Oreochromis niloticus: one gene and its partner. The protein of the gene in region 2 interacts with the protein of the main gene of each other region in a biochemical or structural test. Links are inferred from orthologs where the notes say so. Each region holds a gene or a part of one and is shown on either strand. Other genes may lie near its edges. The genes, in order: shha and ptch1.

Evidence for each region.
Region 1: the proteins of ptch1 (region 2) and shha are reported together in a solved structure, tested with the Homo sapiens proteins (5 studies listed by BioGRID and IntAct, with this or other methods). The link is inferred for Oreochromis niloticus from reciprocal best matches to the Homo sapiens genes PTCH1 and SHH.

What each region holds. Positions count from the first base shown.
Region 1 is NC_031974.2:16,770,243-16,781,370, reverse strand, and holds the start of shha (sonic hedgehog protein), read right to left. Parts: upstream 4,954-11,128; 5' UTR 4,590-4,953; coding exon 4,290-4,589; intron 1-4,289.
Region 2 is NC_031977.2:22,909,507-22,920,646, forward strand, and holds the start of ptch1 (protein patched homolog 1), read right to left. Parts: upstream 4,795-11,140; 5' UTR 4,384-4,794; coding exon 4,213-4,383; intron 2,787-4,212; coding exon 2,594-2,786; intron 1-2,593.

The DNA of each region.
Region 1 (11,128 bases), on a different chromosome or scaffold from region 2:
CCCTCATCCCTGCACATTATACCCATTGCCCCAACTACAAATCGAGGAGGAGCACAACTAATAAACAGCTTTGCTAGGGAGGCTCCTTATCGATCAATATCCATGATTTTAGACGAGAAAGAGAGGATTTGGAACACGATGAGATTTCAGTACATGAGGACTTTTGCCTTTATTGGGAGGACAGTGCAGACAGGAGGGTGAAGAGAAGCTCATCAGCAGACAGCAAGGTGGAGAAAAAGTGAAACTAAATGGCCTTCTCGTCCAACGAATGAAGCACCCCACGTGTCTGCCAACGTGGTCCAGCCAGGACCAACACACGTGGCCCTGGCTGGACTTTTCATCACCGATCAGGAGACATTCCCCGATCTATTCTAGATCCAGTAGCAACAAAAAGAAGAGGTGGAATGTTTGTGGGCAAGAAACACATGTGCACACACAGCAAAAGTGCCCCCCATGTGTTGTGTAGACGTTAATGCAAACAGGCTATTTGTTTAACGAGGTGAGTTACATAGCCTCATATGATTCACAACGTTTTTATATTTAGATATTTATTATATTTTCTCACAAAAACGAGCAGCGCTTTAGTTCATAAATACGCTCTGACGGAGGTAAATTCCACATATTGACCATATGTGTGGATCTTATTGCTTAGAACTGAGAAAAGTAAACATCTATTAAACCAGATCCGCCAATGTTGCCCGAGCAACAAAAGCATGAACACCACACAAGGGTTAATATCAATTAAAGATTAAAACTGGACCAACTGAGGCCTCTCGCACAACTCCATCCCCCCACCCACCTGACTCCCCTGTTTCCTCCCAGCTGAGGTGAAACACTGGAGCTGAACTGCGTCTCTGATCCTGAGCTTGCATTTCTCAGTGTTAGCAGCAGCGTCAGAGGGCACATCTCGGGTAAGAAAGCTGCTAATGAAATATTGATAAGGCACTGCATTCGCTTCACTGGCCTATAACATATGGGTCTTTGGTCTTGGAGAGGTGCGAGCAGCGACCCTTTTCTATCCAGAAGTGTTGCATTAAAAACAACATTAATACAGTATGAATTCACGAGTCTGCATTAGGCGATGAATGAGGGAGTCTTTTGTCGGTTGCTTGTTTTCTTTAAATTAATAATTGATGTGCAGATGATATGAAGATGATCTTCAAGAGCAGCTGCCTCCTTAAAATATCTGGAGTTGGTTGAACCCTAAGCTCTCCGCGCTCTAAATGAAGATGCTTGGCCTTCTCCAAGACAACTATTCTGGACGCCGAACCAATATGTCAAATAAAACATCACAAAGAGTCTTTTCAGTCCAGCGGCGGAGGGAAACTTTCATTACTCTTCTCCTGCAAAGTCTTGGAAACGTGACATGCCTTCTTAAGTCGAGGTGTTTTGGCTGCTGACTAACAGACTTGTGAAATATCCGAGGATTGCACTGGGGGCAAAGAAGAGCCCACTGCCCCCCCCCACCCCACGGTTGGGACAGTCTGAGGTCTTCAATCGGGGGTTGTTCACATAAATCTACCCGCTCGCATAACAGAAAACAAAGTCATATATATCAGTCGCTGTTTTATGAGGATATCACACTTGTAGAATGTGTTGAATTAAAAAAAACCAAACCTCTCCTTAAAAAACCCTTCTGCATACTGAGAGAGATTTTCGGAGTCAAGAGCCGTAAAGCTTAACCTATTTATTAATTCATTAGGTCGTGTGCCGCAAATCAAGCCAAATTCTGCTCAGCCACCATGAAGCCCAGCAGGGCGCCTTGGACCGGCGCTTTGTGCTCGGGGTAAAGTTGTTCAACAGCCTGCCTCTTAATCTTTTCACAAATGATTTGGTTAGAGGAAACACTTATCAGCTACCTGTCAGTGCAAACAAGCCGCCAGCTCATCTCGTTTCCAACTCGTTTGCACTGCAGGCTCTTAACACTGTTACGCTTAGAAAAATAGATGAAAACGCCGTTTAGTCTGGCACTGGATCTAACGTAAAAAAGTAACCCATGACATTGTGGCTTACAGTTTCACTTGTTTAAAGAGGGCAAATCAAAGTTGTTGTTGTTTAATTTTAAGTCATTTTATTGCCTTAAAAATTCCTTTGGAGTCTTATTTTGTCCCACTTTTATGCGTAGAATGTCACTTAACACAAGTTGAATTCACGAGGGTCAGAGACAGGTGAGCATAAGTCTAAAAGCCGTAGAATAGCGGGCGAAAGTGATGCTGCTAATCAAGTCAGGCCCCGTCACTTCGTGTATCAATTCGTAAATGTCTCTAAAGCCTATTTGTTGGCAGCTCTCTGGGAGTGCGCTGTGTCAAACTAGTTAGAAGTGCTTGTTCAAGCGCTTCTTCCAGTATATAATCTTGGCAAGACCGCACTGAACTGATTGACTGATTAATTCATTTATTGCACATATCTAACGGGGCTACTCTAGACACGTGTCTTGTTTCATTTATGAATACAACACCTATTTTCTAAACCGCGAGATAACGAGAGAAGTTCAAGGCATTCATGCGTAAAACTCCGTGCGTAAAAACCCTCTGGATTCATGCATAAAGCCTTGGCACGGCGTAAATCCCCATGTGATAATGCTTATGTTGCTTGCAGCTACACTTACTCTCCTTTGGGTGCACATGCTTCAATCTGGTGGCTTTACAGTGTCATATATAAAAAGGATAATCACACCTGTTTTAACTTACTGTGGCCTCCCGCTGACCAAAGGTTCTAAGTTCAAACTGTGTGTTTTCACACTTAGAGTCGGTCGCCGTGTTTTCTGTAAACAGTCAAGTGGGAAATGGATCACGAACAAACCCAAATAAATCCGACAAACAAAAAGAAACCCCCAACAGGCCACGCTGCACAAGCGTATGGTGCCACATGTAATCACAATTTATCAGATCTTCCACCTCCCACCTTTGTTCGTTTTGATGCTGACCTGCAAAAGCAAATCCTTATAGGCATGCGGGTCTTTTCACTCAGAGTAAAAGCTTGGATTAAGACAGGTGCTTCTTTAGTTCAGAGATTCTCGAAATAATGGTTAAATTAAACTATGTTCCTGCTAGAGACCTGGAAACCCCCCCCCCACCCCACCCCCGGAGAATCCGTTTAGGTCTCTAACCCCCCGCCTTGGTAATCACATCCTCAGACTACTGTAATTTCACGATCCCTGCGTATGAGAACCTATAGGTGTATAGCAGAGGAGATGTGGGGAGGGCTGAGCGACGCACGCACTGTGAATATTTTATTGGAGCTCGCCCTCATGCGTGGTGCTAGGCACGGGTTCAGGGACACCGGCGCGCGCCTGGCTTCATCACCACCAGCAGCACCACCATCACCATCTTCATTTTATTATTACTGAGCCAATATCACCCAAGAGCTTTTTAATAATTCACCAGCATCTAAGTGCTAAAAGTCATGCTGAAGAGACGCGACATCCTGCAGCCTGGAGAGAAATCAAGGCATGTCTCCGATGTATGTGAGCCTCTTCTTAGCTGCACTGAACCGGGTATAAGGTTTTAAACTGACTGGCTGCAAGAGGATGAGATATTTAAAACAGACGCCATCCTTCGTGCAGGTGTATTGTAAAACACACCAGCACTCCTGTGCGCCTTGCTCGTGTAATTGGCCGAGTCCCACCCATTTACCAAGGCCTGGACACTCTCAAAGAAATGTCAGTTTTCATGCACAGATGCACGCCACGCGAAAGGCTAAATTACAGAAGGCTGTGCAAGGAAACGTCTGAATGAGCTACGCCATGCCTCAGTAAGCCCGGCTGTTTAACGCGATGCGCATCCCCAGGGCTGGGGTAAAGAAAAGGCGCTTAAACAAGCCGCAACGTAAAGCCGAAATAGGCAGAAAACACAGAAAGTCTGCATGAAATCTAACATGGACGTGCCCCTGTAAGGCAACAAAACGAGCCTCCCATAGATACAAATATAGATATGAGGAGAGGGGCACATTAATATTTTAAATACACTGTCACAATCATGAAAGCCGAGTGTCCTGACTGTCCGCCTGCACATCACTTATCCAGCTGGATTTCTATATTCGCTTCAAGCCTGCAGCCTTTGAAAACTCCCATGCTGGTGTATAAAGCGCATCTGCCTTTGCAGTGAAGTTAAAAGGCTCAGTGTGAAGAGTTCAGCAGCGGGTAAAACAGACTTCACTTAAGGTGCGCAATCAGTCTGACAAGGAGGTTGTTGCAGTACGCAGTGATGGTGCGTTAGGAAATGGACAGTGGGGGCAAAAAAATAAAAATCACAATAAAATTAAAAGAAAAGGTTATTCCGTCTCCTTACCTGAGTCATTAGCCTGTCAGCACCGGTGTTCTCCTCATCCTTGAATATGATGTCTGTGTTATAATTGGGAGTCAGTTCTTTAAATCGCTCGGAGTTTCTTGTGATCTTGCCTTCGTATTTGCCGCTTGCCCCGAGGGTCTTCTCCGCGACGTTGGGGATGAACTGCTTGTACGCAAGAGGTGTCAGCTTCTTCGGATGTCTTCTTCTGCCGTACCCCCTGCCCGGTCCGCATCCCATCCCAGAGGATACCAAGGACAAGCAGATGAGACCGACCAACGCGATTTTGGTCCAGAGCAGCATTTTTTTTTTTTTTAATTTTTTTTGTCCTTTAAGATCTCAAACGGGTCACCGCTGCTATCTCTACAGTCTGCCTCTCCCGGCTCTCGCAGTGTCCTTGTCTCCTCTTCTACTTCGCCTTAGCTTGGTCTCTGTGTGGCAGGTGCGGAAATGAACGCCTCGGATAAATGGTAATAACGGGGCAAATCGAAGGAGGGTTTAAAAAAAAGTAGTGAGGGAATTAAAAGCCACGGGATCTCTAGTCGAGCTGCTGCCGCTTGTGTGTGTGCCTACCGCTTTTACTGCTTTGTATTATAGCACCGATCTATAGGGGAGGGACTTCATTGGCGTCGACTACCCCTCCTGATGTTATCCCACAAAAATCTTAAAAGATTTCTTCCACCTGAGGGTTAGCCTCTGTTTCGAGGAGGAGGGGCTGCTCCATGGGAAAACATCAATTATAAACTGTCTTTTTTCCACCCTCCCGTTTTCCAGTGTTTCACAGTAAGTGAAGCACAGACAGGGGAGGCTGAACAGTGGTTCTCAAATCTGTAGCAGTGTAGTTTGGTGAATTGATTTGTGTGGGACAACTTTGAGCGCAGAATGCGTTTCCCAGGAGAATAAAACTGCTCATGGACGTGCAGTGCGCAAAGACTGCATGAGTTGGCTGTGACACCCCATATCCACCAGAATAGTATGGAATAGTTTGCTTACAGTGCAGTGAGATATGAGATTTCATTAGATTAGATTAGATTGAAATTTGCCTCTAACTTCGCGTCCCTTTAAACAACAACAGCGTGCCAACGTGAATGTACGCTGTAAGGCACTACTTAACTTATTGGTGGTTCAAAGGCACAATAAAACTGAGAAAACTTGTACTGTAATGTACTTTTTGGACTAATATTATGGCGATTTCACCAGATCTAAAAAGCAAAAGTTGGAGTAACATCAGTGCCTTCTGCGCGCTCTTGTTTCCTACTTTAGTTTATGCGTAAAAATGCATTTTATTCTCCAAAATATCATTCCATGTGACCATTTTTCCACACATTCATCATATTTTCACGCAGGTTTCTGGAACTCAGATTCAGAAAATGAAGCAGAGTCCTTAAAAATGAGGGTGGGAACGGGACAGACTTACAGCACAATAGTAGACGAGGCTTTAGAAAGCGTTTTAAAAAAAAGATAACCAAAAGCCACTTTTTATGGGGAAGAACCTATTTAGTGCGTAAAATATACTGATAGTGGGTAGCAACAATATTCACTCCTACACAGTCAAAACCTACTTTACTGACAGATTCATAGTATTGAAAAACTAACTTTCCGAAAGGAAAGAAATTATGACTTTTCTCGAGTATTAAAATAGATTTTATTTCAATCACCAACTCAACATTCTCATAGTCTCATTCCTATAATTAAAGGCCAATGAAGAAATATTTTACTGTTGTTGATTAAGGCTGTATGGTACCATGAGACACCACTGTATTCAAATTCAAGGTCCAGACAAAACAGATATCTAAAATATTTCAGGGAGGAAAATTATTTGTGTGATAACAACGAGTAATTACAGGAAGACGGGCTGTTCTGAGGCAACTTTGGCTCTCATCACACAGACACTGTGGCACAGGTGCTCTGAAGTGAGGACAGATACGCCAGTCTTTGGTGTGGCTTCTCTCTCATTAGACCTCACTCTGGCTGACCTCCAGTCTGGTGTTGTTTAGTCAGTGCCAGGCTTGTGGCAAAGCAGCTAGGGCAGGTGAGACCAACTGCTGCTCACTGAGACCACGATCATCAGCTCTTAGCCAAAAGACGGTTGGCACACTGCTGTATAACCCAGAGACTCCGCTACCAGCTTTCAGTCTGCAAATCACTACCGTCACTCTGTTTTTGCCGCATATGATTGAGATTCTTAAGATGTCTTCCTTAGTCACATTTCAGCGCCGACGTCTGCAGATGTATTCAAACACAAAGCTGACAGCACTTGTGGTGCCCTGAGGGACACCAGAGGCACTGTTTAGCCCCAGGTCAGGTGTCACAGCTCTGGGATAAAACCTGGCATGCCACACAAATGCCTCAAACCCACAGGGAGGTGAAGCAGAGGTAGAAAGAGTCCTCAGAGGTCTCAGTCCTCCTGAAAAAGAGTAATAATACTTATATTAATGCTCACACTAACACAATTATTAAAGCAACAACTTATAAACTAACAAAAGAAAGAAAAGATGCTGAATGAAAATGAATTATGCTTTCTAAAAACCAAGGTTTGCTGGTGGGATTGAACTTGAGTTTCTACCGCAGAGGAAACCAAGCATCTCTCAGTCAGACCTGGGGCAAATAGTATTTGCAAACATTACACTTCATTGTTTGGTTTTGGCCTAATTCGGTGCCAGATGGGTGGAGTTTGCAACTAAAAGCAAAGTAAATCACTGCACACAGTTTAGACAATTAAAGTATCTGCATCTATTTGGCGTGTGAACTTTTATTTGAGCATTTGCCTTGATCAGACGTCTTAAAACAAACACCTTCTAAGATCCCAGATTTGTGCCATTATGTCACACTATGTTACTCTTTTATTTACAGTGGATTTGCATATGAGGGTGATGCAGAAAAGCGAAGGCTAGCTCTCTGAAATAATTCTGGAGGGATTGAGGGCATTACACAATTATTAAGAAGCCTGTTGCATGTGATGGCTAATCCAGTATGAGGCGTGAAAAACGGCCAATGAGTCATCAGTTTCTGGCTCATGGTGTGTCCCATCTAACACTTTACCCTCCAAAATGTGCAGACGCACATATGGAACCCTCTACCTGATCCATCGCATCGTCCTCATCTGCTGCGCTGCGCTGCCTTTCTTTAGAAGGCTCCCTCTTGTGTCTGACATTCAAAGGAATCAAAAAGATGTGCTTAGAATCAGACTAAATCCACACCCACATTTGATTTCATCTGCCACCGTCTCGATCAAGCACAAGCGAGATGCAACTAGAAGTGGTTGAGTGGAGTTTAACCAGTGTAAGTCCCCCCAATTACTGCTTTAAAGCCTCCTCCTGTCTGAATGTTTTGTAACATTGTTAGACGGATTAGGACTAGAGAATAATCACGCACAAACATATAAGCAGTGTCAGGCTTTCTGTGTTGTTTTCCGTTGCTGCAAATAGGGTTTCCTTTCTCCCAGGCTAACAGAAAGACAGGCCCACCGCAACTCTTTGTGGTTTTTCCTCGCAGGTGGAGTCCGCATTCAACCCTTTATCCTGTTTTGAACTTTTGGCAAACAGTTTATAGCACGGACACGTTGCCATCTATCCTATGAGCATGTGTACTCTTTTGTTAGAGCCACAAAGTTTGAATAATCTTCCTCTAAATGGTTTATCTAAGCCGCACGCATCAAGCATTAAGCAGAGGTAAAGAGTCAGAATTCGGCTGAACAGAATCAGGTGACCTGGAGCTAATCTGTCAAGTACAATGGAAATTTCACAATACAGTATCTAGAATCACAACCCTCAGCGTGCCCCGGAGTCTGTAAAGGCATTTTATTTGCACTCTCCTGCCGCTCCCAATACTTAAACATTAAACGCCAAGGCTAGACAGGCAGAACCTCTTTGAACTGCAGGGCAGGGTGAACTCAGTGGGAGGGGAAGGAGTTGAGTGAGTGGAAAGCGGGGGGCTGGTGTTTGTGTGTTATTCCACCAGGTGAGTCAGCGCTGGCCATCGTGCACTGCAACACCATCTCGGTCTTAAGCAACGGTGATAACAGAGGGAACGGCTCAGAGGACTGACATGTGTCTGTTTACTTTAATGCATAACCGTACTGAGACTTTCTGATGAGCCACTGCGAAGAATTTACATCGAAACAAGCTGCTTTGTTTGTGGAAGCTTAGCTGTGTCTTTAACGTCCTAAAGAAAAGTGATACACGGCCGATATTACTTCACTTCTTCTCCAAACCGGTTTCAATGTCATGACAGCAGGCGGCTGATTTCTTCCATTCTACAGAAAATATCTGAGTTTACACTTTAAGGGGTACAAATGTTCTAAAAAGAATAAAAGAGGGGAAACCAAGCAGACTCATGGAAAGCTACTTTCAGCTGGGGACACCACAACAGGTAGCGCCCCATGTTTGCCTTGGCAGAGTTTTATCTCTGCAGCAACCTCTAGACTTTCTAGACTAATGTAAATGTTTCTTTGGTGATAAAACATCTAAACAGCTAATACACGAACAAAAGCCTCACAATGTTTACGATCTGAACATCTCTATTTTCCTGAAATCAGTTCTTCCTCACGTAAATGAGTTCATATACAAACATTCAAGTGGCTCAGTGTGTTTCCAGAAACTGACCTGCGTTCACTTCACCAGTGAGTCCAATGAACCTGTGTCCTACATTAATATTATAAGGTCACTACCTCTTATATAAAGTGCCTCGAGACAAAGGTTACTGACTAATAACTGGGGCTATATAAATAAAATTCAACAGATCTAAAGAAAAAAAAATAGACTCAAACAATCTTTGCTTTCAAAGAGTACTTATGTGTCTGTATTATGTCCAGTTTCGCTCAGGCTGTATGCCAAGGCACTGACACCAAAGGACACCTTGTGCACAACTGAGACACCAGCAGCATTTAATGGGATGTGGCAAACGCATAGATGAAAGAGCATCTACTTGCTTTTCAAAAGACGAGGAGGAGCAAACAATGTGCAAAGCTCCAGTTTTGTTCTGAAGAAGACTTTTAAAATTTCAAACATTATCTAAGTGAATAAGGGTCTGTGGGGTTTTTGTATCTATCTAGCGTTTCTCCTCAGGGGAGAAAGGTTTGGTCTATTTTGTGACAAATAGATGTGAGACTGGTCACTTCCTGTGCAAAAACCTCTGCCTGTGGACACAGACCCTAAATCACAGCAAATTAGACAATAAAAAGACGAGAATACTGCATGATACAAGTTGGATGAAGAGGAAGCGTGAAGTGAGAGGCTGTATGCGCGTGTGTGTTCTTGATACCTCTCTCCATGTACCAGTGTGAGAAAATCCTGACTGCAGCCTCCAGTCTGCATGTTCAGTCAGATTATATTTGGGCTTTGGTGAAAATAAGCCAAACCTTTTTCTCTGGAATTTCAGAGTTGATCACCTCATACAGGAACTTCGGCAGTCTGGATGAATGTGTCACTGCTCTGTTCCTCCATCTCAGCCTCTGAGTCTGCTTAGTATTGATTCAGAGGAAAACTCTCAGCTGCAGAAGAAATGACATGAATAAAACTGCAAAGTTAAATATATTTTATTTATTTGTCATAGCAATGACAAAGCGGTTCCAGTTAAGCTAAGCTAAGCTAACCACCTCAGACCCTGGGTTCATATTCGGAGACACAAATTGTGACATGGGAGCAGCCAAACCCTTAAGTGTACCACATACAGATGCAGAATTTCTGAGAATACTGGAAAATACACATACATATATAGAAAATACACAATAAAGACTTATCTTTTTCAGAGTGAATGGTTGATTTAACTTCTTTTTAATAAATGTTTCAATAAAAATGAGCAGAAATAAAAGGTACGAATCAACAAGCTGAGCCTGAAAATGCTGGTTTCTGCACATTAAGTTGGAGGACTCATTGCAAAGAACCGGCAACCTTTTTGCTGCAGAAGTTGAAATATTGTGATCTTTCTTAGCATGAGTCACACTCCAAAAACACACTGCATGCAGACCTTCCCATACTGCAACTCTGTAGCATCTTTTGTTCTCACCGCTTGCCTGTCTGCCTGCTTTTTATTCAGTGTTTAGACTCAAAGTTTTAAAAAAAACCAAACCCTAAACCAACGATAACTCCGATGGCCTTTCTTCTTTTACTTTAGAAAGTCAAAAACGTTACTGTTGTCATGGATTAGGAAGCAGTTTGATGACAAGTGAACTGAAATTTATAGGTGCCTTTTTAAAAGAAGTTGGAAAAAATGATGCCAGTAGGGTCATTTTTTTATCTTATCTTTTTCAGTTTTAAGACGTTGCAAAAAAACCACAAAAAAAACATTAATTACATTATGCAAAACCTGTGAAAGCAACTAAATTATAACGCAAATCTGGAAGAATCAGCGGCAAGATGTGAGTTCATACACGGCATTAATATTTTGCATCAGTCACAATATGTTCATCCACAAGACTGCAGGAAACGAGTTCAATCGAAACAAACTCAGTGACTCAGGGGACATAAAGTTGTGAAACTGCGTGTAACCATCTGAAACACCAGAGTTAATCACACTGATGTGAGAGTATCGGCGGTACAGATATACTTCTTAGAGATGAGCAATCTGCTTCAACATGAATGCTTCAGGATTTGCTTTCATTAAAGAGAGGACACTGATTTTATCTCTCTAATGAGTCCTAAATGCTTCAAGTGTGTGCCATCACACCTCGGGCTAATAAAAAAAAACAGAAAGAAGTGTTAATAACTCTCCACTGACTAAAATAAAGAATAAGAGCACAACAAACAGCAGCAAAGCTTCAGTCACGCCCAGTTAGCAGGCTACTACATTACCCATGCCAACCACATTAACCACCTGCGTCTGATAGTTGCTTATGCAAATAT
Region 2 (11,140 bases):
CTAATAAACAGAACTTCCTGTGTCAGAGTATTTATAAACAGTGCTGAGTGAGCACTGTGTGAGAAAAGACAATCCCTGCAAAAGCTGTGGCACGTGACCTACAAGCTAACCGCAGCAGAGACTTAACGGTGGTCTGCCGGAGACCTCAGCTGCTCTGGAGCTATCAGAAAGCAGGTGACGACTGACACGACATGGGATCGCAAACGTGAACGTTGCTCCGGTCCACACTGGAGGAGCTGAGAGATCTGATGGGAGCTGGGCTGTATTGTATGCGCGCACGCATCCACAGGCCACACAGCTTCCATGTGGGGTCGTCCATGGGTCGCCTGCGGAGGGGCAGTTCCAACCAAATGAAACATAAACAGGCACTCTGTCCTCTCCTCTTTTTCCTCTCGGACGATGGGCCAGTCCCCCAGCACGGCCCAGCACAGCGTTCCACGGTCCAGGCAGAACTAATCTATCCCTCAGCTGTGCAGTCTAATCTAAACAAACAGATCTCTCCCTACCAGCATCTGGAACCCCTCACTTATCGGGATGTAGAAAACCACAGCAGCCCTGTCTTGTAGTCAGAGCCTGTGTACGAGCAGGGGTTTGCATCTTGGTGTGAGCCAGTATGAGACCATTTTGTAGATGTCTACCAGAGGTCACTACACTACTTGTGTGTCAGCCAAGGTCAGGTTCAGTTCTGTCAACACCAAAATTTATTGGTGGAACAAAACAAAAGTGCACAGTCACTCTGGGTTTGAGTATCCTGAATTTGATGCAACACCAGCAGCGCTAAACTTGCAACAGGATCAGCTGAAACATCTGAAACTGCTGATAAATCACAAGTTACCAGACCTTGCAAAGACAAAAAGGTGCTAATAATAATGGGAAACTGAGAAAATCTACAAATTCTCAAATTTGAGAAGCTACAAGAAGACCGTTTACCTACTGAATAAATAACTCTGAAGTTATAGCTTTTAGTAATTTTAACCTCAGTACTCTGGAGAGGCTGAAATAAGTCTACAGTTTGCACTTGCAATGCATCTTGAAGCCAAAAGGCTTCATTGCTGTATTTTTGAGTATGCTTTAAATAAAAGGTTTGCCAAAATGTTGCTAAACCCAGTTCTTTGAGAAGGGCAGCAGTATGAGATGGAAGAGTAAAGCTCATAAGTTACAACAGGCCAAAGTGATGCTCTTAGTATTTTTTAGTAATTTTTGTTAAAAGCCCACACAGCGTGTAAAATTAAAGGAGCAGGCAAGCAGGTAAACAGGCAACAAAACAGTGACAGGTCCCTGCAAATGTTTGATTTATTTATTTTTTTTACATAAAATACAAGAAGTTATGAATATATTACTAATTCATTTCAGCACTTGCATGTAAGAGTAAAGGATGCACTGTGAAGTGTGCAATAATATTCAGTTCCAAAAGGTCCCGGTCACTTTAGTATACATGACCGTGGTCAGACATGTGAAAGGGTGTGAAAACAGTGCGATCCTCTGAGTATAATCAGGATTCCTATCCCAAAGAGGCTCCCCTCTGCCTAAACTGTTGCCAACTGCGCCTGCGCCGCAGATTAGAAGAACACGCTGTCTGTCAGACCCCTGCAGCTGCACGCAAGGGGAGAACAGCCAACCCCGGGCAGGAGGTGTGGTGTTTGATCTGTACAGGAATCAGTCTGCTTTAGTGCTTGATCTTGTTAACTTTTTTTTTTAAACCTGAGACAAAGTGGTTTTAAAAAAGTTAAAAAGGCAACCGCACAAGCACACGCTTAAAAAATGCATTCATTTTTATAACCAAACAGTACTCCACTTCAATTTCTCAACAAGTCTGCTCCTCCATTCATGACTCCTACAGCCAACTCTACCCATAAGCGCAGGAATGTGGATCAAAGGAAAGGAAAAAAAGCTCAGCCCCTTCCCCTTAAACCCCCCCACAAGCACCACCCATATGCACAGTTTCTTTCTTCCTTATATATTTTCACTCTTCAAAAGTTGTTTAGGAATTTCAAAAACAAGGAAAACTAACAAGTGTTCCATCCACCCCACAAACACGAGTTCCTGCCCTCACTCCGCTTTTTCCCTGCAGCCGGAGACAAATCTTTTTGGAAAGTTGAGAGCTGTCCAAAACGGGACCACACACAGTCAACTGCTGGGGGCAGGCAGGCAGACACACACTCACACACACACACACTCACACACATCTCACAAAATGGCGGCTTTCACAAAAATTTCCTCTACCCCGAAAGCCCCTTATGAACTTAATTACAACTTTTTATGAGCATAGTTACACTCAGCCCTTGCACATCTTATGTGTGCATCTAGAACGGTTTTAGAAGCTAAGTGTGTTGGGAATAGGCAAGTATTTTCAAGTTTTGCTTGGGTGCTTGCCAGCACCTATACAATAAACAGTCCCCTTACCTACTTCATTTAGTAGCACCAACAAACCTTCTTCCTCCAAACTAAACTGTGTCAAATTCTTGGAAACATGCAATATGAAGTGAAACAGTTTCAAAAGCACTGAAATAAAGAAAAGTCCTAGGAGGTCACACTTAAAAACATCATGAATTGCACAGCTTGTCAAAAAACAAAATAATCAAGAGCCTCTTACCTTCCACCCAGAGTTTCTCCACATCCGTTTCCAAATTAGCTGCCCGTAAGCCCACAGCAAAAGCTCCAAAAATCATGAGGCCAACAACCAAAAACTTTCCGCAGTTCTTTTGAATGTAACAGCCCAGCCTAAATAAAAGTCTCTGGAACTTCGCTCTCAGCCACAGAGGTGCTTTCCTCCCAGTTGCCTTCCCCTATGATAAGACAAGAGTCCCAGAGTTACTGTCAGTCAACAGACAAAGCACCGCACTTACCTGCTCAGGTGATGCTGTAGGGTTAAAGACAAAAGATTTTATGGTATTCATGCAAATAAGCTACAACAATAAATGTGTCCACTTAAAAGAACCTTTACAGTTTTAAAGTACAAGCCTCTCTTTGATCAAAGAATCCCACCTGCTCTCCTTTCAGTAAGACTGCACATTTACCTACAACCGGGGATCTAAAGTCAGAGAGCTGGGATCTTCCAACACATCCACTAAATCCCTCTGCTAACCTTTATTCACTGAAAAACCACAAATCTGCTGGGGATCCTGGGTACTGCTGAGGACTCCCCAGAGTGCGAGCTACAGGTCCTGTCAGATCAGAATCCTTAGCATAATACATGCTAAGGAAAGATACCACCATTCCCTGGCATTTCACAGCCACAATAACCAGTTATGAATACAAATAATATTTTAAAAATAGTCCAAAATAAGTACATCTGGACCTCCAGAGTAGACACAGGTAAACAGGACTGTAACTGTCAAACCACAACTAGACTAAGCAGGCTCCCTTGTGTCTTTGTTCTACTCTTTATGTAAAATGGTCATTGGAAGCACAATACTGCGGTTAGTAGCAGACTATAAGTCTTAAAAGACAGAATAAAATAAAATACTGAATGCACTGTAGACCACATGCTCCCCACTTGACAGAAACTATTACATTTTGAGGGGTAGTGTAATTGCTACTGAAGTAACCTGCACGCACACATCGCCCGGTGATATTAAATACCCTGAATCGGCGCATGTGGTAAAACCACAAATACCACCACCACGCACTCACACGCGCTCTCCCCGTCCGGCCGCTCGTGTGTTCCGGCCTGCACGGGGAAGTGAAGGAGCTATCACGGGGAGGAATCACAATATTTGTGAACGGAAGAGGGCAGCCACATGGATTCTTTTACTTTCCTCCTCTTTACACGAGTCACCCAAGTTTAGACAGTGTCACCCAAACTCTTTAAAGCTTTGGGTGCTCCGCGTAAAAGAAAGGCTGGATGTTATGAAACGGTCAATGGCAGCGTTGCCTGCGAGAGTAAAAGCTGCATGTTTTTTGCCTGGTGCGGGACCGCTCTAGGTTGGGGATGCACTGGAAACAATCGCGTGTTTGTACTGGGGAAACGGGCACCTAGAACTTGCAGCACATCCTTCATCATAAGCCGGTTGCATCGGAAGAGTCGCGTGAAATCAAACACAACTACTTTGCGCTTTTCTGCAACCTTGCCTCACCGCTGTGTACCCCGTGCCCAGCCCGTCCCGTTACCTAGCAGCGACTGGACAGTTTGGCCACTTTTTTTTCTTTTCGACGAATACAATGAAAGCAGCATCACAAAGCCTTTTCCCGTTCAAGATGAGAAATAAGCACCTCTGAAATTTGCTCCAGAGCAAAGCCCGCATCGCAGTAACTCGGCCGCTGCAAATACTCCAAATCCAGCGGTGTGTTGCGGGTATAGTCCCCCCTGTTCCTCCGCGTTATCCTCGGCCGATCGGGGTCTCTGTTTTCCTGCTCGGAGGGCGCATTACCAGCCGAGGCCATGTTGCGGGGACAGCGATATGGTTTCCCACTTTATAGTATTTCCCCGAAAGCGTGTAGCGATATCCCAAGAGAACAGAGTTTCACTCTCGGAGATCTCACACCCGTGAAGTAGGGCTTCATACTCCTGTTGGAGACGGCGAGTCAAAGTCTGCGCCTTCCATCCCAACATTTCGTGATCCGGAGGTCTCCACCGCTTTCACCGCATTCACCGTGTCTCTTAAAAAAGTAAGTTTCTCTCAAAAAGCGAGCTTCGCGAAGTGATTTCCATACACAAGTTGTCGGGTATGAAACCTCGATAGTCGTAGCATTCTGGTGACATCTATGTGGTCTTCCCCTGGGCCGCGCGTCACGGCCAACTCTGAGATTCAATAGAAATGAAGAAAAAGACCTCTCTCCATTTGGAGGCAGAGAAAGAGGAGGGGTGAGTAGAGGAAAAAAATACTCGAGATCCCGCCTCTGGGGCTGTCAGATTGCAGGAGTTTCTTGCATCTGATTGGTTCCAGAAGGGCAGAAATTACTCAGCAAACACGACTATTATTAGCTGCTTAGCAACAGCTCACTAAAGTAGAGAGACCACCCAGGCAGGCAGACCTCATGTGAGCATCTCCAACTTCAGGGGAGGCTCGCCGAGAGTCGAACCCATTTGGTGCATTCAGGTTTTCACGTAGAGCTCCGTTACAATAATGAAGCGTTTCCCTAAGAGGACCCGAAGTCAAAGACAAGGTATCCGTTTGTGCATCGGAGGGGGCTTTTTGGCATGTCAGAACTTTAACTATTTTTTTTTTTCCTCAGATGAGCCTCTAACTGGTTCAATGAGAGGGGGGGGCGGCTTGTAGGCTATAGTGTTGTTGCGATCTTTAGAGTCAAACACCGCCAAAAAACAGCTCATTAGTGTTTTGTACATATCAAAATACGCCACAGCCTCAGGACCACAGCTCTCTACAAAGCAAAACAAAAACCCTTTGATAAAACGTCTAAATGGAAAAAATATTACCTATAGAGAACTGCGATGTGTTTATGCGCAATCACGCATACAAATGCCAAATTATCTCCCCTTTAGTCTAGTGATCCCACAGGGTAATATCACAGTATTATGGTTATTTAGCTGAAAAAAAAAAAAATCACATTTCATATAGATGCAGATATACACAAGAACTATTTGTGCATTTACATCTTGCTGCACAATAAGCAAGCGGATTTTAGGATTTCATTATAATCTGATGTCCTTAAGCTCCTAACACCTGGTTGCCAAAGGAGGTAGCATTTATCCGTGAGGCAGGCATCATTTTTATAACTGACTTTATTCTGATAGAACTTTTTTCATAAAATAAAGATAAAAACAAATTCATTCAAATAAACAGACTTCGGGTCAAAATAATAAGGTTATAATAAACAAAACAATTAACTCCAGCAGCCACTCTTGGCTCGCCAGAGCATCAGGTGTATTTCACACCTAAGCCATCTAAGCTGACTCTGGGCATGTGGCTGCCAGCCGAGCACTTACCATCATCTGTCCTGGTGGGGAGAACATTCAGAACAAATCCGTGATTTCCCGCTCCTCGGAGAGCGAAACGAGTCAGTTATAATAAAGATAAAAAGGAATGATTAAGTGTTGTGAGGAGAGAAAGAGATGCATCGTAATCTGTCTTGGTCACAGTCAGAATGCTCAGAAAAAAGTTCACCCAATTATAAGACTGTGCCTTTTTTGGCCACGTTGGTGGTCTCCTTAGCTTCATAGGCAGGACCCTTTGATTGTCACGTGATTAGCCCGAAGTCGTAAACTGTGCCAATCACGCAGCAGCAGCTTCCAGTATTTCAGGCTGTGGTAATTGAAGGAAAAGAAAGAAAAAGAGCGCACAACGCACACCTGTGCACTCTGACATCAAAGAAGTGAATGCAATGCAATTTAGAGACGCACAGATACACGTATGTGCACATGTGCGTACTTAAGGAACAAGCATATAGGATCAAGCATACAGATCATTTCCATTGACGTATAAGGGATTGTTGATGCTGTATAATAAGGAAACCACAAACAGATTAATACAGTGACATGTCCTCAGCCACATAGTCTCAGATTATATTAACTTCTAAAGACTGATTCGTGTTACTATCAAAGTAAAGTCATTTTACTACCCTTAGTGTCCCCCTTGGAGCAAATTACTTTACATTTGGTCTGGACAGAAACTGTCACTGTAACATTTTACTGGAAATAACATAACATTCATATAAATGCTTATTTCTGATCTGTCTGTATCATAAACACTAACATTCTTCTTTGCAGTTAGTAGGAAGGTTGGTTGTGATGGAGAAAACCCACCTTAAATATATACAGTTTAACTGCCCTCAGATACTCCAGGTGTAGTATCTGAGTGAGGGAAAGCATCCAAGGGGGAACAAAGTTAGGCTGCGATGCCCCCTAATGCTCCTGAGAAGAACCAGGCCTGTGTCAGTGGAACAGGAGGAAGTAGGAGCCGCAACTGCTGCACAATATCTGTGCTATGCATGTTCAAGTTGTTGTCATGACAGTAACGCTGCAGGACTCCATAAAAGTGCCTCAGGTCATTGTGGAAAATAGCCCCCCCCCCCATTTGAATACTGTAGTTAAAAGTTGTAAAGATATGCCTGTAAAAATGCTCTCGGGAGATTATATTGCAAGCATCTGTGTGAACTAATGAAATACATATGCACAAACAACACTAAAACACCCTGGACCAAACATGAACATATATCCTTTTTTATTTATTGACATTAACATGGATGGGATGCACTAATTGTTGACTTTAGGAAGGGAGAAATGAATCCATCTTATTCTGATTTGTAAATGCAGGAAACAGTTTGGGTTTCAGATTTTGTAAGATCAACAAGTCCATTCAACTTGTAAGGTATGAAGCAACAAACAACAAAATAAAAGGTTTCAGTAGTCACCTTTTCATACTTGTCATCAAAATCAGATTACTCCCCTTTTTGTGACGGAATATGTTTAATAAATCTGTATCTAAACATCATTCGTTACATGGTGATCGACAGAGAAATAAGTTAAACTGCTCTTCTGCATCTGCTGTGACACACTCACTGTTCGAAACAATATCCTATTTTTTTTAAATATTTGTTAACTTTTTTTATGTATTACATTTAAAAAAAATTGTTTCAGAGTTAGTTTGCTTGTTTTACTCAAGTTGATTGTTCGAACTGTTTAATTTTAGGTTTTTATTATTAATATGTTAAGTTTTGTCAAGAAGACATACTTTTATTTTTATCTAGCCCTCGTTCACAGCCACATGGATTTCTTAATGGGGAAAGGAGATGAAGTATTCATTTAGGTGCTTGAGGTATTGGGCATTGATCCCAGAATGACTTCACCAACAAGTCACCTTTGGTGACCCCTGGCAGGGCCCCTCACACCCCTCAAGGCTGGTCGCTGGCCAGTGGCCATGAGAAAACGCTGAAAAACCTTGCTTAGTGCATGCGTTTATTTATGATTTGCAGGTGGATTACAGTTCCAAGCAGAACTGTGCCAAAACATTACTATCCCTGAGTCAAAACAATAGCGTCTTTTTAGCCAGGACCATTGTTATGCTTGATGCAGGGATAAACAAAGATTTCTAATCAATACTATGTCCATTACCTGGCGTTATGGACATACTTTTTTAACCAGTCTAACCACTGCATTTTTAGTCAACTCATTTTCTGTCACATTAGTAAACTGTAGCAGTATCCAACCAACCAACAGTTTAGAAAAAGTCTCGTAAATGCAGAAAGTTATACTCAATTTAGTTGAGTATTTATGAAGTGTTTGTTTTTTCCAGTCGTTATAAGACTACAGTAGGTGTAAGTCACTTACAATGAAGTGTATTGAAAAAAAAAAGACCAAAAGGGGCAACAACAACAGAAGAACAGAAAAAACTGCACCTGTTTATTGAAAACAAATGTTCCCAGTTAAGCAAGAACATCCTCTACTCTTGTTTTTCATGCTGCTTACAAAAAATAAAGAGAAAGAAAATCAATATGGATGCGTGGGAGTGAAGGTTTCTTGGTGCTTGAAAGCTTATGTGATATGTTCCATTCATGGGCAAAAGTGTTGTTTATACATCCAATTTAGCTTTAGCAGCATTGTACTGATTGTTAACAAAAACAAACAAAAAGAAAACAGGTATTGCAAAATGTGTAAATGCCCCTAACATGACTGCTTGTTTGCTTGTATGCCCTTGCACACATTGCTGTGACAATGGTAATCATATGTTGTTTTCTAGGTTTTGCCCCAAACTTCTAACCAAGTTGAATAGTTTGCTGTTGAACCATGGAAACTTTGCTTATAGGACAGCCAACACAGTGAACAATAAGACAATAACAGAGGTTTTATACAAAATCCTGGCTAGCCAAACCTTGAAAAAGAAAACAAAGCCTAAGATCAGAGCTTTGTTTCAACCATCTTTTGTAAACATAAATAAAGAGCAACATTCTGGTTTTGTTCTGACCAATATCGTAATGCCTAAAGGGGACCAGCTATGCCCTTTTCTATATCTACTCGACCTTAGAGCTGCTCATCAAATCATCCACCGTCCATTGTCAACCGGCTTTTTGCAAAATGCAAAAGAGCCCAGCCACCACTTTAATCGCAATCGCACGTATTTTTTTCTAACATAGCACAGAAACGGAATATTTAACAGTATTCCCAAAAACACTCTTTTTTCTGACTGTTTTCTTAATGACATTTACATTTACAACAATGATTTTCACAGCAGTGGGGAATAAATTTCATTACAGTAGATTTCTTTCTGAAAGTGCTGTAACTAAGTTTAAGGATATAATTATATATAATAGCCTTGAGGAAAACTATGGTTTTGATTTGGCGCTGTATAAATGAAATTGAATTGAACTGAAAGAGTTTTTGATCTGTGGTTGATTTTGTTAGTTTAGTTTTCCTAGTGTTTCTTAGAGTCTATCTTCCCTCTATCTCATCCATGTGTTTGTACAGCTGTCTTCCCAGTTCATTTTGGTAACTACTTTTTTACGTGTGCTTCTGTGTTTATTACACAGGCCTGTGCAGCAGGATAAAGTGCTGTGATACGATGGGCTGTATCACCGTGGTAACTTATACTGCAATGGTTAGGTTCTAGATTAGAGAGGAACACGTGCAAAGTCACCAGCTACTGACCAATAAATTCTCCAGAAAAACAGCATCATTACTCCTGTACAGATAGTAGCAGAGTCTAAAGTTTTTCAATAGCATCTCATGTCTTTGCATTTCCCTGATGAAAATTCTTAGATGCAACCTTGTTGTTTGATTTTTTTTCCTCCCAATTTTCTGCTAACAATCTTACAAAAATGTTATTGTTCTACAAGCATTAATATATGATCCTAAAACAGAGCTGCTATTTGTACTTGTGGACTTTATATCAAGTTTTAATTTAGTCTAAGCCCATTTTTGCACTCACACATTTATTCAGTGCTTTTAATACTGCTGTGGAGTGCCTTTCCTCTCAAAAACTCTGGTGCTTTTGTCTTTCGCTCTATTGTGTGTTTAATCTCTTCATATTTTTCTAATATTCTAGTGTTATCTTAGTTGGTAAAATCAGCTGTTCTGCTGCTACTTATGCATGTTTATGATTGGTCAGATGCTGCCAAAGTCCAAACTTTCATTCAGGGGAATGTTCAGGGTAAACCCTGATTAACTAAGCAAGATGACTGTGTTACCATTTATTCTGTTTGCCAATGTTAGGGTAAGTGAATAACTTTAACGGAAATATACCCTGGATATGTTGTACTCACTCTGTAGTAAATTGTGTTCCCTAACTAGTGCTCTCTATATGCAGTCCTGTGTTTCCATCCTGTGTTTTGTCTGTTGTGTTATCCTGCTTTACCTTTTTCTGCCTCTGTGTGCATTTTTGTGCTCCTTCTTTAGTGCCTCACTATTTCTTCAGTTTGCATTTTTGATCTTTCACCCTTTGTAATCTATGGACTTTGGTTTGGTTGTTTAATTCTGTATTTCTTTGTGTCTGTGTTTGGGCCCAGATTATTTTTACATTTTCTTGTACACATTTTGTTAAATTGAAACAAAATGTGAAATTCACTTTTTTAGTCTTTAATCCCACCTTTTGACTGGTATCTTCTAACTGAAATGTAGTTGTACACACTTTTATTGCATCATCATGAAGTATTTATCCTTTTTGCAACTTTTCTCACTATAACTTGGTTCCACGATGGCCATATCAAAAAATAAAATAATAATAACAAAAATAGCAAACAAACTAATTCTCCAAACTATGAAAATAGAAGACGAGTTGAATTAAACAGGAAATGTTCTTTGTGTATTTCTATCTGTAAGGCTGGACATTTTTACTCAGCGGAAAATCCCTCTGTCAGTACATCCCTACAGTATTCCCCTTTGGAAGGTCCATAAAGGTACCATTTCCAATATTTCTGCCAGGTCATAAAGCTCTCCTGTCCTCCTCCATCTGAACTGCCCCCCCACCCACCTCTGCACCACCATGGCTCCCTGTGAAGGAGTAGGGGCTGAGTGCAGAGTGAGAGCCTGCTGGGATGTTTATGTTGCAGCTCAAGATTGTCTTCAATCATACGTAGAGCTGTTTGACAGGTTGCAGCAGCAGATTTTGGCCTCTGTTTACCTCTTCCAATTTCTGTGAGGGTTTGTATGTACAATAAGAGGAGCTCTGCAAGGATACATTTAGCAGGAACATAGAGAAGTGGACCAAAACTATAAGAAGATCAAGAAAATGCTTTTTTTTTTTAAATT